7 linked regions of the Neurospora crassa OR74A genome follow. The protein of the gene in region 2 interacts with the protein of the main gene of each other region in a biochemical or structural test. Links are inferred from orthologs where the notes say so. Each region holds a gene or a part of one and is shown on either strand. Other genes may lie near its edges. The genes, in order: NCU06708, NCU01907, NCU04252, NCU03889, NCU01741, NCU02706 and NCU05959.

Region 1 (3,157 bases), on a different chromosome or scaffold from region 2:
CCACATTGCCCCCGTCCCTGGCGATTGGCTGGCGAGGATATGGTGTCCCTACTGCGACGAATACACGTACGTGGACCAGGGTGAGGACAGCGAGGACGAGGTCAAGTGGGCACAGGACGAGAGGGGGTTCGAGGACTTGGCCAGCTTCCAGGAGCATTTGGAATGGTATCATACGGCGTTGCCGGTGCCGAGTATACCGGCGTTATTGCCAAAGGCGGCGGGGAGTTGTTTGATTATGTGATTGAGGCTTGCGGGTGCGTGTGCGGGTGGTTCAAGCTTGGGCTTAGTGTCCAGGGTGTCGGTTTATGTTCTGGATTGAGAACAACAAAATTGAAAAAAAGAAAAAAAAAAAAAAACGGGTTTGGAATTGGAGTTTGGGGGGGCAAGAGCTTCTACTTCAAGTAGGGAAAGAGACCGATAGGCTATCTCAGATGGAGATTTTGTATCATCGCTTGACAGAAATAGCGTGTCGAGCAGAAGAGATGCCGGTCTGGAATGAACCAGGAGATACGCATGATTGAGCATCGGTGACACTGTGGTACAGTCATCCATAGAGACCTTGTCAGGCTTTAGGAAGGCATCGGATGAAGGAGTGGAAAGCAGGAACCTATAAGCAACATGTCTTGATAGCTGAAACCTCACCTGGCCAAACGTCCTTTTGCGTTTGCCCCCCTTTCCCCCCAACCTCCTTTACCCAAACTCCATGCTAGGTCAAGCGCCAAAAACCAATGCCCTACAAACACATATTAAAATAATTACAGAATCCACGTAGGCTATCCGTCACAGCATCATACAGAGCCAGGCTGACTGAGGAAACCCACCCGACGGTATCATGCTAACCCGCTACCGGTGATGCTCCCTGCCTGGGATGCACTCAAAAGAAGAATCTCCACCACAAGAAGAAGATGATAATGGAACCGACCGCCGCAAAGGGGCCGTACTGCTTCAGCAGCAAATCCCAGTTGATCTTAACAGCCGCCCTCTTGTACTTCTTGCTATCGTCCCTCAGCCTACTGCTCAGCTCGCCCATGCGCTCCAGGCTGTCGCCGCGGTACAGCAGATCCTCAATGTTCTTGGTCATGACTTTGGTCACGTCCCTAAGCTCATCATGCAGCTTATCCAGGTTCTGAGTCGCACGCGTGTCGCTGTAAGTCGCCTTGGTGCGGCTGATGAAGCTGTCAAAGTCCATAAAGGCATAGGGCCGCAGCGTCGGGTTCATGAGCTGTGCCGGGGTGTGCGTCGTCGCGAACTCGCCCGCAATGTCGGAAAGGTAGGTGAAGGCTAGCTTGCGCGGGTACGACCGGTCCGTAATGGCGAAGTATACGATGTCGGACTGAATCAGGTAGTGCAGCGTGTAGAGAGAGCCGCTCTCGATGCTGGCTTGCGGTTCCGAGGTGCGCGTTAGGCGGCGCAGAATTAGTTTGACTTGGGACTTGACTTCGCTGAGGGAGGATTCAGTTGCTTCGTCGTCGACGGAAGCGCAGAGCATGAGGCCTGTGTTTTGAGGGGAGGGGTCTTGGTTAGCTACCGGACAAGACATTGACATCTCCATAGGCACACAGATGTTGGTCGAGGGGGTTAGTTAGGGGGGGGGGGGGGGGGGGCACGAACCATCCAGCCGTGCAATTTGTGTTGAGCGGATCATTGTGAAGAATAGGTTATATCACTCCTTTTTCATTGTGTTGTTTTTGGCGACCTTTAGTATCGTTGTGCAACTCGAAATCAAGGCCAGTTCAGTTGCGTGCTTGGATTTGTTAAGTTGGTGTCGTTGGAGAGGACAGTGAACAAGGCAAGGTTTATAAAAGCTTGTGATGACGAGTGGGAGTGATCCGTCAAAAGCAGCCAGGTACGTGGCTTCTACCTAGGTACCGCAACCAACTCGCACCGACGAATTCTCTTGTTCAATTGCATGCTTCTTTCCCTGTCGACCAGCAGACCAGATTGTAATTCGCTATCCTCTTTCTTGTTTTTTTTTTTTCTTTACATGGCTATATAAAGAAAACAAAACATTACCCGTAGGTAGAGTGATGCAATGATTTCGCCAGGCCAACGTGTGTTTCCTTATCAAGGATTACAAGTCGTCAAACGGGACACTGATGACGGTACTGCCGCTGGAAATGTGTTGAAAGTTCACCCTGCAGGGCCTGCAAGTTAGTTTTGTTTAGGTAGTTAAATAGTGCGAGCAGGCAGTCTCGCCCGGCCCGCTATTCACGCCTACTATGCAGTATGTACAAGCTACCTCTAGCTTCCGGGGTGTGTCATGCAAGTGGCTGCCCGGGCTTGGCGCCTTTCAGCTTCCATCCCCACCCATCCTGTCCATCACACAACGACTTGAAGAAGGAGCATCTTCAACCGAACAACATCGGGGAAGGGGAGCTGGAGGTGGAATATCTACCTACTTACCTAGAGGTACCTATCATTCATCACAGTCAGTATAATCCCCCTCCCAGTTCAGAGTGGTGGTTAGATCAAGTTCAGTTCCACCTCGTTCCCTCGCACATCCTCCCAACCTTGCGCGTCAACTTGTACTCAAGGTAGTACCACTTCGGTTCGTTTCGTTGACCACATTTTCACCTGAACGCATCTCATTCTCTACTTTTATAAACCCCCCACTTTCTCCCCTCCCTTCCACCAGACATCAGTTTGTTCGCAGATGTAACCACAGCCATATTGGCCGCATGAACCATCATTGACTTACGAAAGACAAACGGTGACTTTCACGGCGCCATTCTGCCAGTTTCTGCTATCTGGTATTGTTTAATATCACAACAACTAAGTAGTTCCGGATCTGTCTAGATCCAGATCTGACTTGACGGTAATTTTTCCTTTGCCGGCAAACCCACACTGCCGCGTTCGATCACTCCTTGAACAACTTCAACACGCAATAATTATCTTTCCAGAAAGGCGACTAACTGAAGGTGTCCTGAAGGATGGCTGAAGAAGGAAGTAGTTCTCCGCTGTCCTCCGTCCTCTCTTCTCCTCCGGCCTCACCTCCCCGGAGCGTGAGTGGGGACTGGGATGCTATCCTTGTCCAAAAGATTGATACTGCTGCGCAGGTGACTTTGGAGGAGATAGCAGCCGAAAAGTCAACGGTCGAGGAACCAGCAGTTGAGGAACCAGCAGTCGAGGAACCAGCAGTCGAGGAACCAGCAGTCGA
Region 2 (4,055 bases):
AGGAAAGACAGAGGAGGATTGACCAGTTATATCAAGTTACGTTCGAGGAGAAGGTTGTCCAGGGTTTGAGCCACACTGGACATTCGGCTAAATGGCAATCGGCGTTAGAGCGTGGGGGATAGTTATGGTGTTATCGATTCCGAGAAAGCTACATGTTTGTAATGATTCTTTTTCTTCATGTTGTCTGTACCTGACTAGGTAATCATGAGACCTGAAATTCCGACTGTAATTATTCATGGACAGCGTGGATGGAAGTAACAACGGAACATCGACACGCCATTGTGTAACTCGAACATCGTGAACTTGGGTTTGAGGCGTCCAGAAATACGGCACTCGGGGCTTCTGTCTTTTCGTGTTTAGTCAGTACTCGATGGCATTCGGCGTTTCGTTAAGATATCAGACAGTACTTCGAAGGTGGGATATCGACAACCTCGCCAAAGATAGCCCCAGCAACAAACATCCGGTCAATGGAACGGATGGCATCCTCTCACCTTACCCCGCGAAACTTGGCTGAATCTAACAAGGGCCTCGGCGGAACGATTGCCCCTCTGTCGGAATGAGACCTTGCTGTGGTGTCGGTCCGCTCTACTATAGATAGTGGTAACAGTGAGTGGCCGAGTGGATCCGTCGTGTTCGCTTGCTCTGGGTTTCTTTCTGGGGCTCGAGCGGAGAGCATTAGTTCCAGGTACCGAAGCTGAGTGGAACTGAAATGATTACAGTTGCAGGAACTGGGGGCGTGGAGTGCTTAGTCTAAACCTGTTCCTCTATTGGTGGCATTTAGCGTAAGCGAATTCCGTCGGTTAAGTATTTGTTGACCTTAGATGAACCGAGAGCGAACTTTGAGTCTTGATCCCTATGCTGAAGCCAACTTCCTCGGCAAGTAGGTATAAATAATCAAATGCCCCCACCGACCATCCAGAGGTATACCTGAGCTCTATCAGCCTTGCAAGAGGTTATGTTGTGGAACAGTGAAAGGACATGGAAGAGCGCATGCAAAAAAAGAACCGCATCTTCATGAGGAAGAGAAATTGTATAATTAATGCATAAAGTCTACAAGAGACGCCTCTGCATGCATTATAAAGAAGAAGTATAATATTACTGAAACGCCGCCACAACTGCCGTCTACCCGGCAATTAATACCCAGAGAAGGAAGAAAATCATCTACAAAGTCGCACAGCGTTAGAGTTTTATGCAGGGCATAGGTAACAGAGCAGGAATACTGGGCTTACCAAAACACCAAACATCTTGGCTAAGAGCCATCTATTACTTGAAACACGGCTCCAATATTTGAGCAGTTCTTTTTGCGCGCCTTCGACGTTCTCTACCACGTCCTCTCTGCATGGTGTGTTAGTACAGTGCTGGTGTGTCGAGCGTCTCGAGACAAACCTACGTGTTGGCATCAATTCTTTGTATCATCTCAGATTGTTCGCTGACCATGGCCGCGAGCTGCCCAAAAATGGAACCCAGCTCATTGATAGTCGACTCGATGGCCTCGATCGCTTGCCCTCGTTGTTGGACGTAGGTGTTTTGGCCTTCCTCCAACATCTGGAGCTGCATCTGCTGATCTCCCATCGGGTTCAGCGAGATCAGATCTTGCTGCCCTGGTGCTGGCGTTCCCCTACTAGGCGTGCCGTACAGAGGTGACGCAGATTGTTGCAAGGAAGCATGTGCGTGCTGACCTACTGACGAGACAAAGTTCTCGGTCCTCGACCGCGACGCCTGAATGTTCTTGGTTCTGATTTCGAGCACGTCCTTGAAATTAGCACCAACATCTCCCAGCTTGCCCTGTAGGAGCAGGAGAATGTTTTTGTTGTTCTCCCCTTCTTGGTCGGGCTTCGGGTGCAGACGTCTAGAGAGATCTTGCAGGTTCCTGATCTTCTCGTTCAACGAAGACAGGTCTTGCTTGATGACAAAGGTCAACTAACATAATGGTTAGCCAGCCAGTTATGGAGTCGAGGCGCGCAAAGATCAAGCGCATGACCCAGCTTACCTCGTTGATTTCGACCGGCCTGTCATCGAAAAGAGTCTTCTTCTTGGCCAGCTGTGCTAGCTTTTCCAGCTTGGCCATTGTCGCAGAGATACCCCTTCCAATCTCTGCAGCCCCCCTCGCAAACTCAGACCTTCTGGGCTGGGCATCGCTGCTGGCAGCATGTTGTTGAGCGGTGTCCAGAAGTCGCTGCTTTCCTGGCTTTGTGGCCTGCCTACGCTGGGCAGCCGCAACAATCTGTCGGAACTCTTCCGTTCGGTCGTTGATGGCAAAGACAGCCATAATTAGAGGTGTATCGGTATATGCTGAGGCGGTAGTCCGTCCGTTTCCAACAGCTAATCGCGGGGAATGGGTCGTAGAGGGGCGCGTGTACCCCTGAGCAACCGGCACGCGGTTAAGTCGTAATCAATAACACGTCGGAGTTCGTAAGTCAGGAATCGAGACGTCGTCAACTTTGTCAATCGTGACCGGGGGCGAATGCGACTCGTAGGCTGCGAGTTTGCGGAGGAGATTATGGATTGGCAAAGTGGAAATGGGCGGATCCGGGGGATGCGGCGGGAGCGAGGCTAATTCGCGACTGGCGAGGAGGTCGGCGGCTGGTCGTGGGTGTGTTGATTGAAGGTCGTATTTATGAAAGGCGCTACACGATGGACTCGCGATGACGTATGAATGAGTGGCGGTGTTATAAGTTCGTCGTCGTGGTCGTGGTCGTCGCCGTCGTCGAGTCAAATGGTTGGTGTCGTGGTCGTCGAGGTTGAACAAGCTCCTCCGTTGTTGTCATCAGCGACGGGAGTTCGATAAAGGGAAAACGTGGTTACTTTACTTACATAGTTTCAGGAGGGCCCGTGACGCTGCAGTGTGTGGCTCGGCCCCTGCAGTTGAGTAAGAAAAGCTCACAGTGCAAAAATCCAAAGCTGACTGACCAAGACACTGTTGTTAAGCATTCAGTTAAGCTAGACTCGCTAGTAGTACATTTGATTGGACATCAGCCCAGTCTTTTTAAAGAATCAACTTCCCGATCAACCTTGAAGTCGATAACACCTCGGCACTGCAACTCAATGTTCTTTCACATTGTATTTTTTTGCCACTCTTTGGAATAGTATGGTTGCCCCCACACTCAGACCCAAAAGCCCAAGAATGGGAGATGAATTTCTGGTTATCCGAGCCAAAGGTGTGAGATGTGACTAGAGGTATGTCATTTTTACATGATGGGGTCACGTCTGTCAGAATGGGAAGACGCTTCGTTGAATGCCCCTGGCCTCTGGGTTACTGCGTTTCTGACCCACTGCGGCCCATGGATTTGGGGTACTACCTCTAGTACATGAATGAACGTCAGGCCGGGCGCTTGGAGCTGAGCGGTACCAGAAACTCAAGGCCTGTCACTGCAGCGCCAGCAAGGGTGGAACGCCATTAGCATCGATCGAGGCGCAACCAAAGTAGGTAGCTAAGAATTACCTCTAAGTAGATACTCTAAAAACGGATGAAATCCGGGGTATCATTTCTAGAGCCATTGTGACTGCCTTTGAACTAGGGCTTCACAAAACCAAACAACTTGCAGCACTTCTAATTCTCATTCAAATGGGATTTTCCCCCCTTTCCTGGCGAGTTATGTGGTTTGCTGAGGCCTGAATGCCCCGTAGAAGCGTCGCCGTGAAGGCCTCTCTCTCCAGATACCTATACTTGACTAAAGAATTGAATGCAAATTATCAGTACTTTCCCCTTGTGTAGTGAGTTCGTAAACCTAAAAGAAGCTTCCCTTCGGCTTCACCTCACCTACCTCTACCCAAGAGGTCTACGAATACCTTACATATTCCGAAAATGTAGAGCCACAGGTTTCTCTAACTGCATCCGCGGCCGAGTGCGGTGGCATTCAGTTAGTGCCTTACAGAGTGGAGAGTCTAATAGCCTGTCTCATTAAAGCTCGCCCCACGTCCGCCTGACGTTCCAATGCTGCCCTGGGCTGCTGATCCCTGCCGCGGTCCCGGACCATAATCTTCAACAACGAGAGGAAAGAGCAGGGAGCATGAATGGATGCAGTGTCATCTGGTCAACTGCCAGCGCAAGTCCA
Region 3 (4,214 bases), on a different chromosome or scaffold from region 2:
TAAAGTAATTATAATCTGATATATAGCAGCTCCTCACTTCCACCCCTCACTCTTCCCCTTCATCTTTGGCCATCAATCTACGAAACCTCCTTACCCAACCTCTCCAACTCCTCCTTGATAAAGCTGCCAGCATTAAGCAACTCCGTACCACCATAAATCACCCTCCTCTTCGCACGATCTCCCGTCGTCGTTCTCGCCGCCCACTCCTGCAAATTGCTGTATTCGGCCGTGCTCGCACCGCCAACCATGAACACAATCGCCTCCGAGAACCCCTGTCTGCGTTGCCCGAAACTGGCCGTTTGGCCCGGGCCACTTGATCCTGGCAAGCCACCGGGCCCGCCCAGGGATGACCCGCTCCCTTGGGCCCGCATGGCCGACGGCTGGGGCATGGTGCCGCGCGCGTTGGCGCTGCGCGGGTCGAAGTAGAGGTAGTGTTCCGTCTTGGCGATGGCCGAGGAGCTGGCGGCCGATGGGTCCATGAGGGACTCGGTGATCTTGGTTACCGTGAGGTCGCGGTCTTCGGGGAGGAAGTTCTTGATGCCACCCAAGAGAGAGGCCACGTTATTGGAGAGAGCGCCCGTGGGCACGCCCGTCTCCTTGAGGCGGTCGGTGAGACGGCTGGAGATGGCGGAGAAGCGGTTGAAAAGGTCCGAGGACCCGGATTGTTGCTGGTTGGAGGATGAAGGATTATTTACCGTGGTGAGTTGTGTCATTTTGGTCGTGGCGCGGACTCTGTGTGGTATTGTTAGTCAGAAATGGCTGAAAAAGCCCAAGAAAAAAAAGGGGGGTAGCACGTACTGCTTAATGTAAGAGAGGCACGTTGTGTCGCAGCCCTTGGCCGCGAGTGCCTCCTCAAATTGCGTCCATTCCTGACGAGACACATCCTGTTCCGTGCTGAGGTACCAGATCACAAAGAGACGCAGGTAATCCTCAGGCTTGCCCTTGTCCGCCGTCTTGATCTGATCCAGCACTTGCGCCTTGGTTTGCTTGAACACGTTCTCCTCCAGTTGGAAGTAGTTATCCAACTGTCGGCTTTGAATCTCGCCAAGGATAGCAGCAAGGATGTTCATGTGCATATCCAAAGTGGCTTTTCTTGCGCGCAGTTCGGGCAAGAGTGTAACAGCTGCTTTTAGATGCTGAGCACTTGCACTCGAGTCTTGTTCGAAATGGTCCAAATCCCTAACGCCAGTCTTCTTGGTGAGAGCATCCGCCTCCTCCTTGTATTTCGTGAGTTCAATGTCGATGTCCTCGGCAACCTAAGCATCCTGGTTAGTAGACCATCCTCAGGATGTCCCGTCTGCACTTCCAGCTTACCTGAGGGAACGGCAGGCATGAGTTCTTGGCCCAGAAGAAATCATCGGCAGCCAAATCATACGTCTTCTTGTTGGTGCCCTTGGCCGGGTTATTGGAGTCCACGGGGCTCTCGATTGTGATCCGGTTCGATTCCGACAAACCAAAGACGTCGGCGCATAAACTCTGGTAGGTCCACGAGTGGGACAGCATGGGAATTAGGTCAATATTACGGTCCATGATAACGAGCAGGGGCTTTGGCGTTCCAGTGCTGGAAGCGGCTGCCCTGTGTGCCGAAAAGAGGTTGTCCTTGGAGTTGAGAATATGATCGCGAAGTTTTCGGTCCAATTTCGTTGCAACCATCTCAGCAGCAGCACCCCTGGGGCAGCGAATAATGGGAATGACGCCTAGTGTCACCACCACGCTAAACAGGCCGCTGACGATCCTGTCGATAACTCTGTCCAACTCCTCATCTTGTGTCTTTGCGCTATTCAACGCCCAGTATGTATGCTCCTTCTGCATGCCCAGACTGAACAAATCCGGCTCGGGAACGATAAAGTTGAGGTACTGGTCGAATATCTGGGCAATCTTCTCCGATGTGCCGGCGACAGCGGTTTGCGCCGCAAAGTCCTCCAACAGTGGCCGTGGTACCGAGGAGAGGAAGTTGATGCTGGCAGAGTTATAGAGGTTCTTCTGAAGATCATTGGTGATTTGCTGGAGGTTCTTGGCGTTCGGTTCGATAAGGTAGATGGCATCGACATCAGGAATCGGTTGCCTGTTGGCCGCGATGGAAACGTGTAGCGTGACGCCCATGGATCGCAGATCCGAAACCTGGAGTACTGGGCTGATGACATTGCGACCAAGCTCGTCAAAGACCAAGATCTTCCACGTGGGAATGTCCTTTAGCAAGGGGGCGGAAGCGGATTGGAAGCCATTCGAGTCGTCGCCGTCGGTCGGTTCGAGGGGTTGGTTGAGGTTCAGGAGCTTCTTGATAGACACTAGAGAGCATGTGTCAGTCCACCGCAAGACTGTCTGGCATTGTGACCCTTGGGGATAGGAAGGCAGTGGGACATACAGATCTGCTTGTCGCGCAGAGAGTTCCCTGGTGTTGGCGCCATGTCTGTGTATTAAAGTGATTGCTATGCTGGTCGGCAGGAAGTTCGTGGAGGAGGACTCGGGGCCGAGGTGCTGTAGAATACTGTAGGCTGTTGAGGCAAGTGGAAGGGAAGGTAGTAGCTCCCGTCTCGCTGTCACAGTGGTGGGGCGGCTTGTGATCGCGTCCCTTGAACCGAATTATCGCTAGGCTGGCCTCGAGTCGTTGGCCTTTTCGCAAACTTTGAAAGAGAGCCGCAACTTTTTAAAGACGAAAGAGCAAACGTGTTAAGATGTTACAGTACTGAGTCCAGAAGATCCTTACGTGTTCAATAGTACCTAGGTATACAGAAAGCTGACGTGAGGAAACAGAATATCTCCGTTGAAGCTACCTTGGGTACCTACTTCTGGAGGTATGTTGTCTTCTCTGGTCCGCAAGGTACCTGACATCTCTCCCTCGGCTTGGACCAGTGGCCTTTGTCTCCCAGTGGACTGTTTACCCCTTCCCTTCTATATCCGCTAACCTCCACTTACAGGAGGTGCCGCCCTGAGCTGAGAGCTTTCCCCCACAGTAGAGGTATGACGAGGATTCCGTTATCGTCCTCCAATGTTCGATTGACACCGCAACCAGCAAGTTGTGACATCTTCCTGTCTCTGTGGCGTTTACCTTTGACTGTTCCAGGAATGGATGATTGAGCCCGTGCGTGTCATCGCTGACAATTTACCATGTCGTCCGTCTTATTTGCTCTCGATTTTCCTATATCCGTAGAAGTGTAGAGGTATGATGGACAACTTCAAGGTCCAGAGAAATACCTTCCCTAGAGGTAGGTTGGTACGTACCTCTAGGTATTTTCAGTATGTCTGCTCCTGCCATAACCTGTCTGCCTGTCTAGAGGTAGGTAGAAGTAGCGATTAAATGGTAAGGTACAAACACTGCTGCAATTTCCCACTGATTCCTGCCCCCAGCTGGCGCGGACCCACCCAAAACCCAACAAACGGCCGGTTCCTCTTTGGTTCCAGGTATCGTGCCAGCGTGCTACATACAGAAATCCAACTTCCCAGGGGCACTTCCACCTTCACTTGCCACGCGCACTGACCACAGAAGCTCTTGCTACACGTGTGCTGACTTCCACTTCGTTGCGTGCCTGGGCCATTTTTGGAGAAAGGCCCGTGATCCGCCAGTGCCAACGAGCGTCGGCGGCCCGTGAGCGCTAGCGTGCCAGCCAGTCAATGCACTCCCGTCACTGGCAAACTCGTTGAGAAAGCGCCTGCCCACTGCACTCATGCACCCGCTTGCCCAGTCGCAAAGCGTCAGTCCCTTTTTATGAACGGCGGAACGCACCTGATTTGCGCGACCGCTGCTCACGTTCAACTTTTTTCCTTTCAACTCCCGTCGTCACCCTGACCTGACATCAGCAGCATCTCTCCTTTCTTCGACGACCAACTTGTCGCCCTTGGTCGCCTTGTCGCATCGCCCATCGTCGTACTTGATAGTCGCGTCCTTTTCTTCGTACATCTTTTCCCTGTTCTGGCAAAGCTGTAGAGGCGATTTAAACGCGCAGGTTTTCTTGACGTCTCGGGCGTTTTTCTGCTTGCGCGACCGTCATTCGGAAGTCGTCTCTTTCCCTGGCAGCTGCAGTCGTCCGATCGACCTGCGGCCCTGGCTTTTGAAGATTAATTTCGTTACCTGCCTGCTCAGCTGAGTTCAAGGTCGGGACCTCTCCATTCTTTAACCCGGGATAGAGAGGAAATGCTGTAGCGAACTGCGATAATCTCATCGCTGTTGTCTTCCGCGCACGCGTGGGGGAGATTCGTGACGAGTTTGCGGACGC
Region 4 (4,129 bases), on a different chromosome or scaffold from region 2:
TTTCCGGCCTAAGCGGTGGCAGCTTCTTCGATTCCAAGCCCGCCACATCCTCCCACCAATCCAAGCAGTCCATCAGCAGCCCACTGGGCTTCTCATCAACCCCTCCTCCTGCGCCAGCCTCTAAGCCCGCGCCCGCTTCCTCCGCCCTCGGTGACCTGTTTGACTTTTCCACAACAGCTACTGCTACTACCGCTCCTCCCTCGGCCGCCGCCCCGAAGCCTTCATCTGACTTCAGCTCCGCATTCAACCTTTCCAAGCCCGCCGCAACCACGCCGGCCCCTGCAGCCGTTACTTCAACAACACCAAACCCTCTTGCCTCTATTGCGACGTCTAACGCCTGGTCAGATGCAGGTGTATGGGGTTCCAACGAGTGGGCCTCCGCCCCTGAGCCCCCCAAGCCTGCGGCTCCTGAACCGCCCAAGCCAGCACCTGTTACCTCTATCCCTCTTTCTAACGATTTTGGATGGGGCAACAGCACCACCACCTCCTCCACTACCGGCGGCTCCTTCGCAAGCCAACCTATTGTCCCCAGCGCTTCGGGCGGCTTTGCCCCAGCACCAAAGGTGGCGGCCGATGAGGAGTTTGGGGGCTGGATGAGCAGCACTACCACACCAGCTGCTCCGAGCGGATCCAAGCCGGCTACCGGTTTTGGTGGCAGTGACGACCTGTTCTCAAACGTCTGGCAATAAGAAACCTTAGAACGACAATTCAGGGATCTCCGACATGGGGTTCAGAGGTAACCGAGTGCAGTCTACTGGGATTTTTGCTGTTGTCCTCGCGCCTGATGCCGACCATGTAAATATATAATCAACCGGCAGGTGATGTGAGAAATAGCTCGGACAAACTTATACCAAACCAAACCAAACCCATCAAGCGTCCGAACTTGTTTTTCCTTCTATACCACCTGACTGGAAAGGGGATGCTATCCACGAACACCATGTCGTACTTATGCTGTGGGAGTCTGATCTAGTTAAGAGTTAGGCAAATGATGGTTTATGCGTGACAAATAGGGGAATGATGAACAACGCAGTCATTCTTACATCAGCAAGTCATGTTTTGTTTTGGCATATTTACATTATAGACAACAAGTTATTGTTCGTTGGTAGGGCAAAAGTAATGCACTTTTATATAGGATCCTCCTATCTTTTGTAAGGTGTGTGTTGCCCTCATTAATGTCCTTCTGATGTCCTTGAAGTTTCAAAATGAAAAATCAAGGATGAGACTGAGAAATGTCGATGTCTGGCTTATACGACACGACGTATCAATGACAACCTAAGGTACGCAGAAACCAAATCCCAAATAAACAAACAAAACCGAACCGTCAACGCCATTGCTATGCCTTTGCATCTACCCGTCTGTTGTCGAGACAAAACATTAAGCCCAGTCTGTAAACCAAAATCCACACTTCGTTCAGAATCCACCAAAACACAGACCTACGGTCCTGCGTGACCTGCTACCCTCCCACCCATTGCCCCACCCTACATTGCACCTCCTCTGCGCAATACTAGTAGCGGCTTTTGTGGGAGCAAGCGGACTGCACATCGCCTGTACCAGCACTCCAACATCCAACAAGCTATCCGGACAAGCTCCATCCTGTCTTGATGTCCGGCTTCGCACGCATCCGTCTTATCATTCCTGATATTTGTCGGGAATCGAATCGTGCCGCCCTCTACATCCTTCGCCCTGTGTTGTTGTAGTGAACCCGATGAAGAGAACCTCCCTTCCTTTTGCTTCCTGGCATGTATTCGCATGTCGAAGTTCAATAGACCCAATAGACCCAATATTCAAACGACTTTAGCCCTCTCACACGTCGTGACTTTTTGAATCATTTAACCAACAAAAAGTCGATAAAGATAGTAAATGACCAGGAAGCTCCCAATAAGAATACCCGAGAGCTTGAGAATGGCGACCTTGTTCCCCGATGCGGCCATGCGGCCTAGACGGGTGGCGGAACCTTTGAGTTGAGAGCCCATGGAGGAGAAGGTATCGGTCTGTTCGTTGTTGGTGGGACTTGTCAGTTTGTTATTTTGTGCAGAGTAAAATCAAAGGAACCGTACCGTTTGGTCGATAACTTCGTGGTTGCGCGCCTGGTCGTAAATGTCAATCGTTACACCTCGAAGGGCAGAAACCTTGGAGGCTAGCTCGTCGAGGCGCGCATTATTTTGGCGCTCGCGCTCGTAGTTTGCGGACATCTTGATAATGGTAATGGGGGGGGGTTGTGTTGTGGTCGTAGTTGTATGTTGCGACTCGCTCAGCGGCCGTGTGGGAGGTTCACTCGTCAGTTTTGAGTATCGGGTTAATTGGAACTCGCTGATATGGCCCGAGTTTCGTATTATCGAAGATGTTATTACGTGTTATTTTGTCGCGCGCGCGGGGGTCGGCTTCGGTGTCTTGCAGCGTCCGTTGTTCGGAGTGAAGCCGTGGTGTTCCTAGGTATTGCTGAGTGCTATGGGGATGTCAAAAGGGGGTAGGTTGTAGCAGGTTCCAGATGCACTCAGTTCAGGGTCACAATGAAAGGACACCGGGATCATGCATCCATCATGATGGGGGCGGCCGGCTCACTGCAGCTTGTTGATGCATACACCAGCCACAGCTACGGCCTCCTAGTCGCGAATGATGTCAGTTTCGGCCATTTACGTGTGGCTGCGCGTAAAGCACATGCATGGTCAATGCGGGGTCTTTTTCGGGGGGAGCGGAGCCTGCTGGAGCCATTTGATTGTGCTCGTGGTCGGGCCACTGCAACTTTGGGTCCCGTCAGTCAGTCACCTACGTAACGACGAACGCCCGCTCTGCTCTGCCCGCTGGACAAGGCCCGGGTATTCAAAGTGGAAGGTGCAGGGCGCAGGGACGGAGTAAAGTAGAGAAGTAGAGGTACAGTAGTGTACGCTACTGCACAGCCCACGGCGGCAGTGCTTGCCCAAGCCCATCCCAGCGTCTCCAGTGATTGAGGGTCCAGTGCTACAGTTCTCACATGACGCGCGGCACGAGCTCCAGCTTCCATTTCCAAGTACTTCCATTTCAAATGTTGACTGTGATGAATTCCATGCCACTGTTTAGCCTCGCTCATCAGTTACTCCGATCTGTGAAGAAGAGGGAAAAAAACAAACTCTCAAACGGACAGTTACACCAACAAAAGAGCACGCACAAAGGCTTATCCTCCGGGAACAAGATCGTTCATCACGAACAACAAGTGACCCCAAGGATCTCCCCAGCATCTTGACAAACCGCCGTTGTGGGGACGCCCAGGTACCAACCTCGCATTTACTATGTACACAAGAAATTGACCGGGCTGATCTGCTTACTTGCTTGCCTGCCAGTGTGCCTGCAGGCATTGATCGGCCAGTGTCCCGAGAAATGACTGACGAACTCCATCTCTTTCTTTCTTTCTAATATTTCGCTGTCGCTGTCGCATTTCCACGGCATTCTCACCGCAGCCGCTCTACACGCCCTCGCCCTTCAAGACCCGCGCCAGTCCGCTATAGGGAGTTCCGCTTCGACACTTCAAGATGGGTATCAACAACCCTCTTCCGTCGTCACTTTCGTGTGAGTTTGTGTCCCCGGGGTTCCCGTGCTGTGCGAGCCCGACCCCGCAACTCCCCTTCGCTTCGCCGAATCCGACATCCTAACACGTCTGTAACCAGCGGAATGTAAGAAGTGCGGTAAAATCCTCGCCTCCTTCATCGAGCCCAAACAAGCCTTTGGTCCCGACAAGGTGATACCGCCATCAGTGCTCGCGAATGCCAAGGTACGAAACAGCATCCGCAACCTCAACGAAAGCGACCAGGTGGTTAACGTTCTCCTAGGGTCTTGCTATACTCACCGTCATCAAAGCTGGTTTCCTCGGATCTGCCCGTTTCGGTAGCGGCCTGGTAGTCGCCCGCCTCCCCGACGGCAGCTGGTCTGCCCCCACCGCCATTGCTACGGGTGGTGCCGGCTTCGGCGGTCAGATCGGTTTCGAGCTTACAGATTTCGTTTTCATTCTCAACGACGCGAGCGCCGTAAAAACCTTCGCCCAAGCTGGGTCACTTACACTTGGTGGTAACGTTTCGGTCGCGGCCGGGCCTGTCGGTAGAAATGCCGAGGCCGCCGGAGCCGCTTCGCTGAGAAGCGTAGCGGGCATCTTCAGTTA
Region 5 (3,811 bases), on a different chromosome or scaffold from region 2:
GCAGCAGCAGCGGCTGTTGAGGACTAGTCTTGCGGGAAATGCCAGGCGGAGCACAATTGGAGCGCCAAGGAGCAGTCTGGATATCAGTGGGCTGTTGTCTGTTGATGAGAGTAGTCCCATGATGAGAAGCAGTCCAAGGGTGAGGAGGTTGCACTAGAATGAAGGTCCGCGGTGGTTCGGAAAGAGAAACAAGGGAGGATTAAAACTGAGGAGTTGTGGTAGGAACGGTCAGCAAGCATCATTCAATAACAGGTCGTTTGAGTCTGGCGCATGGAGTCTTGGGATCATGGCAGTATGGGTAGCTACTTGGTGGCTTGGGAAGCAGGATTGAATAGATAATGTCCGTCAAAAGACAACTTTGATCTTCGTTACAGCAATGGTCTGGTCTATGCAGTGGTAGTCTACACGCAGTTCTGATTAACTGTCTGTTATACGCTCAATGATTATCCACTTCACGTTTGTGGGAGCCCATATATAGCTTCATGATTGATCAGTGGATTAAACCAGATAATTGAACCTCATTGGTTGGAGAACGGATTAAGAATGATTAAAATAATTAGGTACCACAAAAAAACCAAAAAAAACCGACTTCTGATACTACCCGAACGACTTAACAAACGCGAACTCCCCGGCGCCAGCATGCAAAAACCAAGTCCGCCCGCAATCTACCAAGGGCAACCCATATCCATGCCTTTTCTATCCCACAAGGTAGTCAGCCACTTTGACCTAGAACCTTCCGTTTTCCTCATCATCCATTGGTATTACCCATCGTTAAAGCCATATATATACTATCCCATCTTTCCTTTGCATATATATGGTCTCTTTTCTCGTTTCCATCATTCTTGAACATATCGCTTTGCCCCGCGCAGCAGCAGCAGCAGCAGCAGCAGCAGCAGGAGGACCACTCCGCCGACCAACATATCCCTCCATCTTTGTCTTTTTCTTTTCTTTCTTTTTCTCTCTTCCAAGTTCAGAAAAACCTTGACCTTGGAAGGATACTAGAGATACCTCACGTAAAAAAAGAGGAACACCACGGCAGCGAAAAAGGCAAGCCACACCCTCCACCCGACATTGGTCTTCTGTGCCATGATGAGCATTCGGTTCATGGTACCACGGAGTCGGAGGCGGGTTTGGTCGAAGGATTCGTTCATCTTCTCGGCGAGGGCGGAGGAGTCTCGAATTTCATCGCCGATGGCTATAGTCATCTGTTTGTGGGGGAGGGATGGGGTTAGTTGATGGGTGGCTTGCGAGAGAAGGAAGTGGGAGAGAGGGAGGAGAGCAGAAAGAGAGAACAAAAACATACATCCTTCAAAATCTTGACTTTACCCATTATCCCTTCCACCTGCTCATCATTCTGGCTCTCGAGTTCGTTGAGGACTGCGTCGCTGTACTGGCCCCTTGAATTTGGAGTAGCAGGCCTAAACCCGCCCCGTTCCATCCCCAGTGTTGACGAGCTGCCGTTATAACTCCCACCGCCACCATAGCCGCCCCCGTACCCGTATCCGCCGCCACCGCCATACCTTGCTGGGCTGGCGTTGGCCGAGCGGCGCTCGGCTGCGCTGGAGCCAGAGTAGCCCTTGAAAAGGTCGCTGCGCGGGTCGCGCTGGTGTAGAGAGGAATGTGCAAATCTGTACTCCGGAGAAAAAGAAAAGCGGACTAATTGTTAGAAGGGTGTTGTCTTGTCTTGTTCGAAGGATTAAGGGGTTGGTGGGATGGGGGTTGTGGTGGGTGGTCAAAGTCGAATCGAGGACGACCCGGGGGCATGGTGGATGGATCGAGTTGACGCTTTCGGTTTCGCTGTCATTCTCGCTCTCGTCGCCAGTGCTGCTGTGGTTGCGCCGCTGTTGCGACTGCATCACATCACGGTAGTGAACTCGTATCGTATCCTACCATGGCATGGTTGGAGGCGTGTTGGCGAGACTCTGAAACCAGAGCGATGACGTAGTTGAGGCCGTCGCGCCATGACCAGGGGGGGCAGGTCGAGAAATCGTGACTTGTCAAACCAACCACCATAACATCGATAGCTGCTGCCTTTGGTCCGCAGATATCTTCCGGTGGCAATATCGTACACCCGTTCACCGGAGCCGGGCAGCTCGGTCGGCCGCTCGCTTCATCGCGTGTCGGTCGTGGGTTTGGTCGAGTTGACAGGCCAAGTCGCATTTCGAAATGTGAAAGGTGGCATTTGCGTGTGGTGTGGTGCAATGCTAAGACGAACGTACAAGAGAATCGCACTCACCTGGAAGCCATCATGGAGAGCAAATTTAGGTCGATCCGTCTTCGAGAATCCTGACAGGTAAATGCTAGCTAACTTGTAAGAGTGTGGGTAGGTATTAGAGATGATGAATTGGCAGGTTCCATAGAGGTAGCGTCGGGCGGGGGGTGTGCGGGTGGTGAAGAAAGAAAATAAAGTTGAATGCCCGTGGACCCTTGGCCGCCAGCGCCGGCAGATCCCCCTTTTTAGTTTGGGTGGTTGTTAGGCCTGTTCTGGCCAGATGTTACCTTGGTGCGCCGTCCATGTACATAAACTACAACGTCAGTCCGTGTCTGGGTGATACATATGTAATGGCTAAAAGGTACAATGTTGTTCGTGCCGCATGATGCTGACAAGGACACGTTGATTGAACATCTGGGTTGGTGTCACGTCTTCCTCTCCGAGAGAACTTGACACTATTTTCCCCAATGTATCTGGTTTTAATCATTCAATTTTTCTTTATGTCGGAGGGTTCATGTTCGGCGTTGTTCAAAGTCCCTCCGAGAGGTGCCCGTGTTGCTTCCACTGATATTGGCTAATTGGGCGTTCAGCGTCTCCATTCTTCCTCTACCTTTTTTTTTTTTTTTTTTTTTTTTTTTTTCTCTCTCAGCTTGTCGCGTCAGCAATAAGTTGATCCACGTTAGATTGCGCAAGGCGCATAGACTCAAGTATGGACTTATTGAAGCGAATCTAAGCCCAAATCCGAGACTTTCAGAATCGTTGAAGCTTTCCAAGTCGAAGGCATGCATTCTCACAGATGTTGGCGTCAAAGAAGCTGGTGTATGGTACTGCGTAGAATACCCGGTGGATCAGGCCAAGATCGCGAACCTTGTTGGTGGCTGGTGCGATGCTCCGGTTCCTGACGTCTGCTGTGTACTCCAGGAACAGGACCGATATCAAATCTCGATGGTCATAGCAACTCTAGAATTCGCCGGAATATTACCTTTTCATAGGTCAGCCGTAGACATATCACCCCCTTCAGGCTGCCTCGCGGTTAGTTTAGTGGCACCCCATCTCAACAGGCCAACTGCCCTTGAGCTGACAGGGGAATCATCCAATGTCTCCACTTATGGGGGTTAGGTTAGTGAAGACAAGCGATCAAGCGTATTCTGATACACCAACGTACGTAGTATGTTGATACTTTGAAATTGGCTGACAGAAGAGATCGGTCTACCTGAACTGATAAACGAATGATCACTTACACCCTTATCATGTATTGCCAAATTCTGATTGTGGGAACTCCCAACGCATTGAACCAAACAACCCCAGGCCTTATAGCTGACATTCACGTACATAAATAGGTCCAGCCAATCAGGCTTAGCAATCAGCCAAAAGACGGCTTACATCTCCAAGCTCGTGATCATCATAAAACTCAACCACTGGCAGCGAGCAAAGCGCAGAGCCAACGGGGAAACCCAGGAAGAAAGAAAACAAGAATCTGTTGTCATTGTTGTTGTTGTTGTTGTTGTTGTGAACCATCAAAGGAAATCAGAAGATAGCCTCGGACTACTCCTCCATTTCCTCATCCTCGGGCACAAACTCCTCGTCGTCCTCCTCATC
Region 6 (3,396 bases), about 1.2 Mb from region 2:
TTCCGTGGCAAGCGCGTCGTCCTCCTCAAGGCTCTCGACCAGGGTGTTCTTCTCGTCACCGGCCCTTTCAAGATCAACGGTGTTCCCCTCCGTCGCGTCAACGCCCGCTACGTCATCGCCACTTCCCAGAAGGTCGATCTCGCTGGCATCGACGAGGCCAAGATCAACGAGATCGCTCAGCCCAAGTACTTCACCGCCGAGAAGTCCAAGGAGAAGGCTGGTGAGGAGGCTTTCTTCAAGCAGGGCGAGAAGCCCCAGGTACGACTTGGGAATTCCGAGCTGGAACACGGGGCGCACAATGCTGACATAGTGATGCAGAAGAAGGAGGTTTCCAGCAGCCGCGTTGCCGACCAGAAGGCCATCGACAAGGCCCTCATCGCCAACATCAAGAAGGTCGAGTTCCTCGCCAGCTACCTCGCCTCTTCTTTCACCCTCCGCAAGGGTGACAAGCCCCACGAGATGAAGTGGTAGATTGTGGGCATGGGTGCTAGGGGACTGCATGCGGGTGCGGTTCGCGGTATGGCTCGGTCAGTTGCATTTGGACGTTGACGGTTCTCGGGTCCATTACGGCGTCTGTTATGAGGGTTTACAGTCATCAGGATGGTAAAATACGGCTTTCGGTTTGCAGAGGATACGGGTCACGAGCGAAACTCGAGGCATTGGGGACGCCCCATGACAATGTACAGGGGGCTCGTGAAGGCACTCGACTCTCGCAGAGAGCCTGTTCCTCCTGGTATCGCACCAAACCATGCGATTAGGGATCCGTCCAAAGAGCGGAAGATCAATACCTACAGATGCTATTTACTGCGCCTACCGCATACTCGACCATTGATATCCTTCGTGCGTTCTATGTGCGAAACTGCGTCTCTCATTGCGTCGGTGTATGTCTGCGAATCACACGTATTCAGTGAACAGCTACGACGACTGTATGGTGAGTCTTTGCGATTTATCAGCACTTTACAAAGCCCGTGTAAACATGGCTTGGCCCTTCTGTCATATGTCTTTCAACAATAGCTGAGGTATCTTCGCTCGCATGTCTATATGTGTGCTGATTAATCGTGTCCGCCGCGTCCAACAACTTCAGTGTCATCAACCGTGATGGTTATGAACTCGCGCCAACGTTCACGGCCGCAGTTGATGTCTACCACTGTTCAGACGGGAGAACGGTACGGTCCGCAGATATCTCGCGTGATAGTAGTTGTATGAACCTTGATGTCATGCTTGGCCTAGACTCTTGAGATGTGCATCAGCTGCCAGTGCCGAGGCGCTGACACCTGGCATAAGGTGACATGGAATGTATCGTCGGGTCCCCTACGTGGTGAAGCCCTATCTTCAGCTCTGTCGTTCTGCAGCAGCTCAGCTGAAGAGTCGACCCAGGCCGCTACGGTACAGTGGACATGTAACTGTGGCGCCTGCCGATACGTAACTGAACTTCTTCCACTAACAAAGCCACATCTCTGCCGTGCAAGCATCAATCATCATCATCACGACCATTTACGTCTGATCTAGGATCCTCCACCGGTTGACCTGTCCTGATCAACCTTACCACTACTATTACAGACAATTTTATAAATTCAAACCACATCATATTCTCCTCCCGCCAAGAGTGCCGCCTTCAGGCAACTCGGACGAATCGCATCCGTTGAAATTCATCGATCTTGCCCCAATAGCTTAGGAGCAGCACTGCATCATGGCGGCGACAACATCCTCAACCCAGGGCTGGGCCCAGTTACGACAACAAGCCCGATCGCTCGAAACACAAGTACGACTGAACTGGTCATGGGCCTTGGGAAATGGGAAGGGCATGAGACTAACATTTTCTTACAGACCGAAATGCTCCTCCACACATACGCCCAGTTCTCGAACCAGACCAACATCCCACCGAAGCCGACAGAAGAGGAAAGGCATACGGAAACGAGACTACGGGAGCTATTGGACAAAGTAAGTTTTTAGAGGTCAAGTAAAACTGTTTACATAAATTCGAACACTGCTAATACATGGTCTTTTCAGCGCGAGTCCGTAATCTCCCACCTCACCCGCCTCCTAACCTCGGACCCCTCCCCCTCAGCGCTCAAGCAGAACAACCTCTCCCTTCTGCGCGACAAGCTCTCGGACCACCGGCGGGACCTCTCCCGATTGCGGTCGACGCTCGAGTCGGCCCGCACGCGTGCCAACCTGCTAGGCAGCGTGCGCGACGACATCTCGGCATACCGCGCCGCCAACCCTGAGCAAGGCGAGGCCGACTACATGCTGGACGAGCGAGGCAGGCTGGACCGCAGCCACGATGTGGCCGACAGCGTGCTGAGCCAGGCGTACGCGGTGCAGGACTCATTCGCGTCCCAGCGAGAGCGGCTGGCGCACATCAACCGGCGAATTACTCTTGCGGCGAGCCAGGTGCCCGGAATCAATACCCTGATCACGAGGATATCGGCGAGGAAGAGACGGGATGGCATTATTATGGGCTCATTCATTGCGTTCTGCTTCTTGATGTTCTGGTTCTTCTCCTGAGTGGCGGTGGTGAACGAAGTGGGAGAGCGCTTCACGAACATGAGAGAGCGGAGAAATTCTGCTCAAGGACGGTTATGCGGCTCACTTCTTGTTGAGCGCATGCTATGGATCTTTGGAAGCGCGACAGGATCGCATCTTCCAGGAACCCTTATCGTAAGCGGCTGTACATGACACACTACTTCAGTGTCGGGCTTTCGTACTTTGACGGGAAGCATGGCGGGGATTACGGCGTTCAGGGGCGTTGCGAGGCAAGTAAGTGTGAAAGTGATTTTACAAAATAATAATATAATTTACAAACCCAAGAAGAAGTCCACGGCATTCTTGCTGGTTAAACCATGGCTCGTGGACGCATCTGCTGTAGACCAGACCAGAACAGACCAGAATTTCCCCGTTCGTCCGTGGTATTTTGAAATGCGCCCATCTCAGCCCCCGATGAGCCGACTTGCTTGCTCGTAAGCTCAATTAGCTTCTTCCCTGTAGCAGGAATTCGATGCTCAGAAACCTTGAGCTTGGCGAGCCTTGCTTTTCTGTTCCAGCAAAAGCTCTGTGACACGTCAGCTGGGCAATGGAGACTTTGTCACCCATATCATCTCAATGCATCTTTACGCCTAGGCATTCCGGGTCGCCTATTGCGCCGCAACAGACCCTTCTGCCTTCAACTCAGGGACAGCCGCTGTCTTCCGCACATAGTTCTTCCCAACACCCTCCTTGGTCATCTCGTCCAAAATCCTCTGGACGCCCTTGATCAGGCCCTCCTTCTCATCTCCCTCCGCATCACCACTGCCCGCCCATCGAATTCGGCAGTTATGATCCACCAGATACGTGTAGCCAACCTTGCTGTTTAGCAAACCAATTGACTCCCGAATCTCGTCCGTAATCCCCTTTGTG
Region 7 (3,255 bases), on a different chromosome or scaffold from region 2:
CTGCAGCTTGAGCTGCGGAACATCAGTCCGGTGGACTTCTTTTTTTTCACCGCCTAAAGTTCAACTGGAGCTGTGGAAGGTCTGAGGGTCCGTTATGTACTGCGTATCTGTGAAAGTGGGGTTATATGCAAATGTTAACAACAACGAAAGTATCTCGAAGAAGATGACTTGACGTGATTTGCAGTGATGCGTGTTTCCATCACATGGAAAATTTCTTAGTCTACTCATTTGTAATAGGCCTGTAGTGTACATGAGTTACCAAGACACAGTTCTTGCTGGGATATACACAGTACACCACGGTTCTTCAGGGTGGCAAAGAAGCTTAATTTGGGCACAAGAAATAGCGACTTTGTCGAAGGCTCGCTCTCTGTTTCTTGTAGAACTACCAAGCTACCAAGTCACATCCCAGCAGAGGTGTGGTGAACGCAAATCATTCAAACAACAGTGGCCAACAGAAAATTTGTTTTAACCAAGGCCCCGGTCAACACCGACCAAAGTCAGGGATACTATGTCTCAGAGGAGAATCATTTGAAATCATAGAGAACGATCCGCTACCCATGTGGCGGCGAGTTGTGGTGGACATGGCGAGCCGTTTTCCCCTGTCGGATGTCGGAACGTCCATGGAAGCAAGGCCGCCGTATGGTCATGAGAAAGAAATACGTCTAAATTTCGAAACCACCTCCCTTTGTGACGCCGTCTGTGTAAAAATACAACCCCCCGTACGATACCATCCCTACGATACGAAAAACATGGAACTGGAACATGTCTCTGTTATAACAAACGCTCCATCGGTACAGTCCAAACCATCCACCACCTGTTCGTATATATCGTGATGTCACTGAACACCCCTGCCTGTTCTACCTGATGTTGTATTGCTTCTTTATGGATTCGCTCAGCTCTCTCGACACAATCACCTGAACTTGCTAACGATAACCGCAATGATAAGGAGGACCAGCACGGTGATGATCGCAATGGTGATTATCCGATTCGTAGCCATCCTAATGGTAAAGGCGCAAGTGGTCAGTATTACCTAATCATCATGATTCGCATTGGGACAAAAGGGGAGGGTGGTACCTGCGTGCCATGCCCTTTAGTGTCTTGACACTTCGGTCCACATAGCCTTCACTCTCGTATAGTATCGTGGTGGTGTGCTCAATGACTTCGCGTTGGCGGTGCAGGTCGGCCAGGGTGCTGGCGCCAATAGCCTCTGTCTCGGCGGCCAGCGCCTGACTGGCCTTGAGGCGTTGTGTGCTCCGATCGAGCCGGTCGGTGCCTTTTACGTTTCGGGGGAAATAGTCAGCATTCCGTTTCTTCTTGCCATGTATAAGGTGCTTCTGTCCACCACCCACCAGATAGCAGCTGCTGCCTCTGCTCAAAATGCCTATCGCCACTCGAAGAGCCCGGGTTATCGGTGTATCTGCCGCCGAACAGGGCGCTGCGGTCCGTCGCCAGCGTCTGCAGCTTGCGACGATACTTGTCCACGTCGCTTCGGTAGTCGCGCAGTCGCTTGTTGATGGCGGTCCGCGACGAGCTGGGCACGTTCTGCTTCTCCATGTTCATCTGGTCCAGCAGCTCGCCGGCCTCCTCCAGGGCGCGCTCGGCCGTGCTGAGGGCGGCTTTCCTGGGCTCGCCCGTCAGCTCCGAGATTTGGTCGAGCTTCTGGACCAGGTCGGCCTGGACCAGCTGGTATTCCGTCTCATAATGCTTGAAGAGCTCTGTGCCGGCTTCGCTGTCGAGAATGTTGGCCATCTTGGATTCAATGGAGTTATGTGTTGCTATCGGATGTGGAGGTTGGGGTTCGGGGCAGGTGTGGGGGTGCTGTCGTCGGGCTGGCCGTATCGGGGTGATGCTCGTTTATCGGCGGGTATCGTTATTCTCAATTATTCAGATTCGTCATTAATCATGCCAAAGAGGGGCGTCGTTGATGCGGTCGCGTTGGACGAGATGTGGTTGGGCTGGCGTGTGGTTGGTCTGATCGCAAGGAGTAGTGGTCGTCGTCGAATGTTGTCTGTCGCCAGCGACACCAGTGTGCTTCGAGCCCCGTTAGTCGTTGCGGTCGTCTCAGCAGCCTGACAAGCGAACTGAAAGGCAGGCAGGCCGCAGGCGGGAGACGACAGCAGCTGTGGGCACGGACCAGCATGGGCACATGACATTCCGCTTGTTACATACAGTTACAGTGGTTACAGTTGCAGCCTAGGCGGGTGACGTACACATGCTTGGCGTTGCCGCATGTATTGCAGTGTTGTTGCAGTACGTGTACGCAAGCGCTGTATGTATTGTTTGCAAAGTGTAACTTACACGGACCGTGTCCAGTTGAACGTATCAACCCCGCCTGGGACTGCCGGGGACTTTGGCGTCTTGAAACTCTTCAATTGGTTTCTTTGTATGACTGAGTTGACCTTTCACCAGCCAGCAACGAATTGAGACCGATGACGACCTAGGGAAGGGAACTGTTTTGGGGGACATATCGCTTAGAAGGTCCAGTCAACGGCCACGTCCCAAGACATGCTAAGATAATATAGTGTACACTGCCTAGACACTGTCACGGCTGCTTGACGCGAACCTTGGCTGGTTTCCCCAGAAAATGGACACATTGCCAGCCTTTTGTTTCTGGTTGGTGTCTTGAATTTTCCAAGTCTTTTTTGGGTTTGTAGTCTGTCGCCACCGATGCTTTGGGAAAATGTTCTCCTGGCAGTCGGGTCGGATTGGTCGGCAATGTTGTTTTGCGGCGCAAATAGTAGGTAGCTGCTCGACATTGCCACGAGATTTGCACCTTCTGTTAAATCATATATATGTCAGCTATGACATTCGGATTTCGTCGCCGACATCAAAACACCAGGACTGCTCATGGCCATCTGGTCCGGCCTCGTGGCACACACTTACTTACACACATACACGCACTCATACACTCTCTCTGTTGCTCGTCGTCCAGCAACACCAGGCTTCAGCCCAGCGATACCGACCCGTCTGACTAAACCTCCACCACAAAACATCCATCACCAACGGACAAATCAGCGACCCCGGTCACAATTCGAGAATTCGCTGCGAGGTTCTTCATTCGAAGGTTTGTCAGGCTGATCCACTCTCGGCACGCCATAGGATTCGCTGGAATACATCATCGCTTGGCTAGTGGAGAGTGTTGGCGACATTCACCAGGATCGAGTTACGTACCGCCGCCGCCGCCGCCGAAGGAAAAAGCCCACGCCAACGTCCGACGGTTTTGACACATCGGCGGCCGATTTCAGCGACTCACCG

What was found.
Region 1: the proteins of NCU01907 (region 2) and NCU06708 form a complex in vitro, tested with the Saccharomyces cerevisiae proteins (5 studies listed by BioGRID). The link is inferred for Neurospora crassa OR74A from reciprocal best matches to the Saccharomyces cerevisiae genes SED5 and SEC22.
Region 3: the proteins of NCU01907 (region 2) and NCU04252 form a complex in vitro, tested with the Saccharomyces cerevisiae proteins (7 studies listed by BioGRID, with this or other methods). The link is inferred for Neurospora crassa OR74A from reciprocal best matches to the Saccharomyces cerevisiae genes SED5 and SLY1.
Region 4: the proteins of NCU01907 (region 2) and NCU03889 form a complex in vitro, tested with the Saccharomyces cerevisiae proteins (2 studies listed by BioGRID). The link is inferred for Neurospora crassa OR74A from reciprocal best matches to the Saccharomyces cerevisiae genes SED5 and SFT1.
Region 5: the proteins of NCU01907 (region 2) and NCU01741 form a complex in vitro, tested with the Saccharomyces cerevisiae proteins (4 studies listed by BioGRID). The link is inferred for Neurospora crassa OR74A from reciprocal best matches to the Saccharomyces cerevisiae genes SED5 and BET1.
Region 6: the proteins of NCU01907 (region 2) and NCU02706 form a complex in vitro, tested with the Saccharomyces cerevisiae proteins (2 studies listed by BioGRID). The link is inferred for Neurospora crassa OR74A from reciprocal best matches to the Saccharomyces cerevisiae genes SED5 and GOS1.
Region 7: the proteins of NCU01907 (region 2) and NCU05959 form a complex in vitro, tested with the Saccharomyces cerevisiae proteins (2 studies listed by BioGRID). The link is inferred for Neurospora crassa OR74A from reciprocal best matches to the Saccharomyces cerevisiae genes SED5 and VTI1.

Annotation. Positions count from the first base shown.
Region 1 is NC_026505.1:4,348,019-4,351,175, reverse strand, and holds NCU06708 (protein transporter sec22), read right to left. Parts: upstream 1,808-3,157; 5' UTR 1,646-1,807; coding exon 1,612-1,645; intron 1,495-1,611; coding exon 875-1,494; 3' UTR 501-874; downstream 1-500. Other genes in the region: NCU06709 (hypothetical protein), read left to right, coding at 1-241; NCU06707 (uncharacterized protein), read left to right, coding at 2,931-3,157. UniProt on the Saccharomyces cerevisiae protein: Nonessential SNARE involved in targeting and fusion of ER-derived transport vesicles with the Golgi complex as well as Golgi-derived retrograde transport vesicles with the ER.
Region 2 is NC_026501.1:2,073,864-2,077,918, reverse strand, and holds NCU01907 (syntaxin 5), read right to left. Parts: upstream 2,801-4,055; 5' UTR 2,270-2,800; coding exon 1,991-2,269; intron 1,921-1,990; coding exon 1,391-1,920; intron 1,336-1,390; coding exon 1,230-1,335; intron 1,162-1,229; coding exon 1,123-1,161; 3' UTR 492-1,122; intron 347-491; 3' UTR 84-346; downstream 1-83. UniProt on the Saccharomyces cerevisiae protein: Required for vesicular transport between the endoplasmic reticulum and the Golgi complex. Acts as a target organelle soluble NSF attachment protein receptor (t-SNARE).
Region 3 is NC_026505.1:5,366,441-5,370,654, forward strand, and holds the start of NCU04252 (SNARE docking complex subunit), read right to left. Parts: upstream 2,801-4,214; 5' UTR 2,409-2,800; coding exon 2,366-2,408; intron 2,289-2,365; coding exon 1,315-2,288; intron 1,257-1,314; coding exon 799-1,256; intron 733-798; coding exon 78-732; 3' UTR 1-77. UniProt on the Saccharomyces cerevisiae protein: Able to suppress the functional loss of YPT1. SLY1 is essential for cell viability. May interact indirectly, or directly with YPT1.
Region 4 is NC_026506.1:2,053,271-2,057,399, reverse strand, and holds NCU03889 (SNARE), read right to left. Parts: upstream 2,801-4,129; 5' UTR 2,193-2,800; coding exon 2,058-2,192; intron 1,992-2,057; coding exon 1,830-1,991; 3' UTR 690-1,829; downstream 1-689. Other genes in the region: NCU03890 (stromal membrane-associated protein), read left to right, coding at 1-689; NCU03888 (DUF500 and SH3 domain-containing protein), read left to right, coding at 3,507-3,543, 3,642-3,745, 3,804-4,129. UniProt on the Saccharomyces cerevisiae protein: Vesicle SNARE required for retrograde transport within the Golgi complex.
Region 5 is NC_026502.1:2,582,606-2,586,416, forward strand, and holds NCU01741 (SNARE complex subunit), read right to left. Parts: upstream 2,466-3,811; 5' UTR 2,251-2,465; coding exon 2,237-2,250; intron 1,629-2,236; coding exon 1,304-1,628; intron 1,206-1,303; coding exon 999-1,205; 3' UTR 501-998; downstream 1-500. Other genes in the region: NCU01742 (hypothetical protein), read left to right, coding at 1-157; NCU01740 (histone H2A.Z-specific chaperone chz-1), read right to left, coding at 3,758-3,811. UniProt on the Saccharomyces cerevisiae protein: SNARE required for targeting and fusion of ER-derived transport vesicles with the Golgi complex.
Region 6 is NC_026501.1:3,263,831-3,267,226, reverse strand, and holds NCU02706 (protein transporter GOS1), read left to right. Parts: upstream 1-1,371; 5' UTR 1,372-1,690; coding exon 1,691-1,762; intron 1,763-1,827; coding exon 1,828-1,941; intron 1,942-2,010; coding exon 2,011-2,508; 3' UTR 2,509-2,896; downstream 2,897-3,396. Other genes in the region: NCU02707 (60S ribosomal protein L6), read left to right, coding at 1-258, 319-471; NCU02705 (F1F0 ATP synthase assembly protein Atp10), read right to left, coding at 3,135-3,396. UniProt on the Saccharomyces cerevisiae protein: Involved in transport from the ER to the Golgi apparatus as well as in intra-Golgi transport. It belongs to a super-family of proteins called t-SNAREs or soluble NSF (N-ethylmaleimide-sensitive factor) attachment protein receptor.
Region 7 is NC_026506.1:3,311,437-3,314,691, forward strand, and holds NCU05959 (vesicle transport V-SNARE protein VTI1), read right to left. Parts: upstream 2,067-3,255; 5' UTR 1,750-2,066; coding exon 1,350-1,749; intron 1,274-1,349; coding exon 1,075-1,273; intron 999-1,074; coding exon 911-998; 3' UTR 501-910; downstream 1-500. UniProt on the Saccharomyces cerevisiae protein: t-SNARE found in various SNARE complexes involved in multiple transport pathways. The composition of the t-SNARE complexes is specific for a limited number of v-SNAREs and therefore allows only the vesicles carrying the matching v-SNARE to fuse.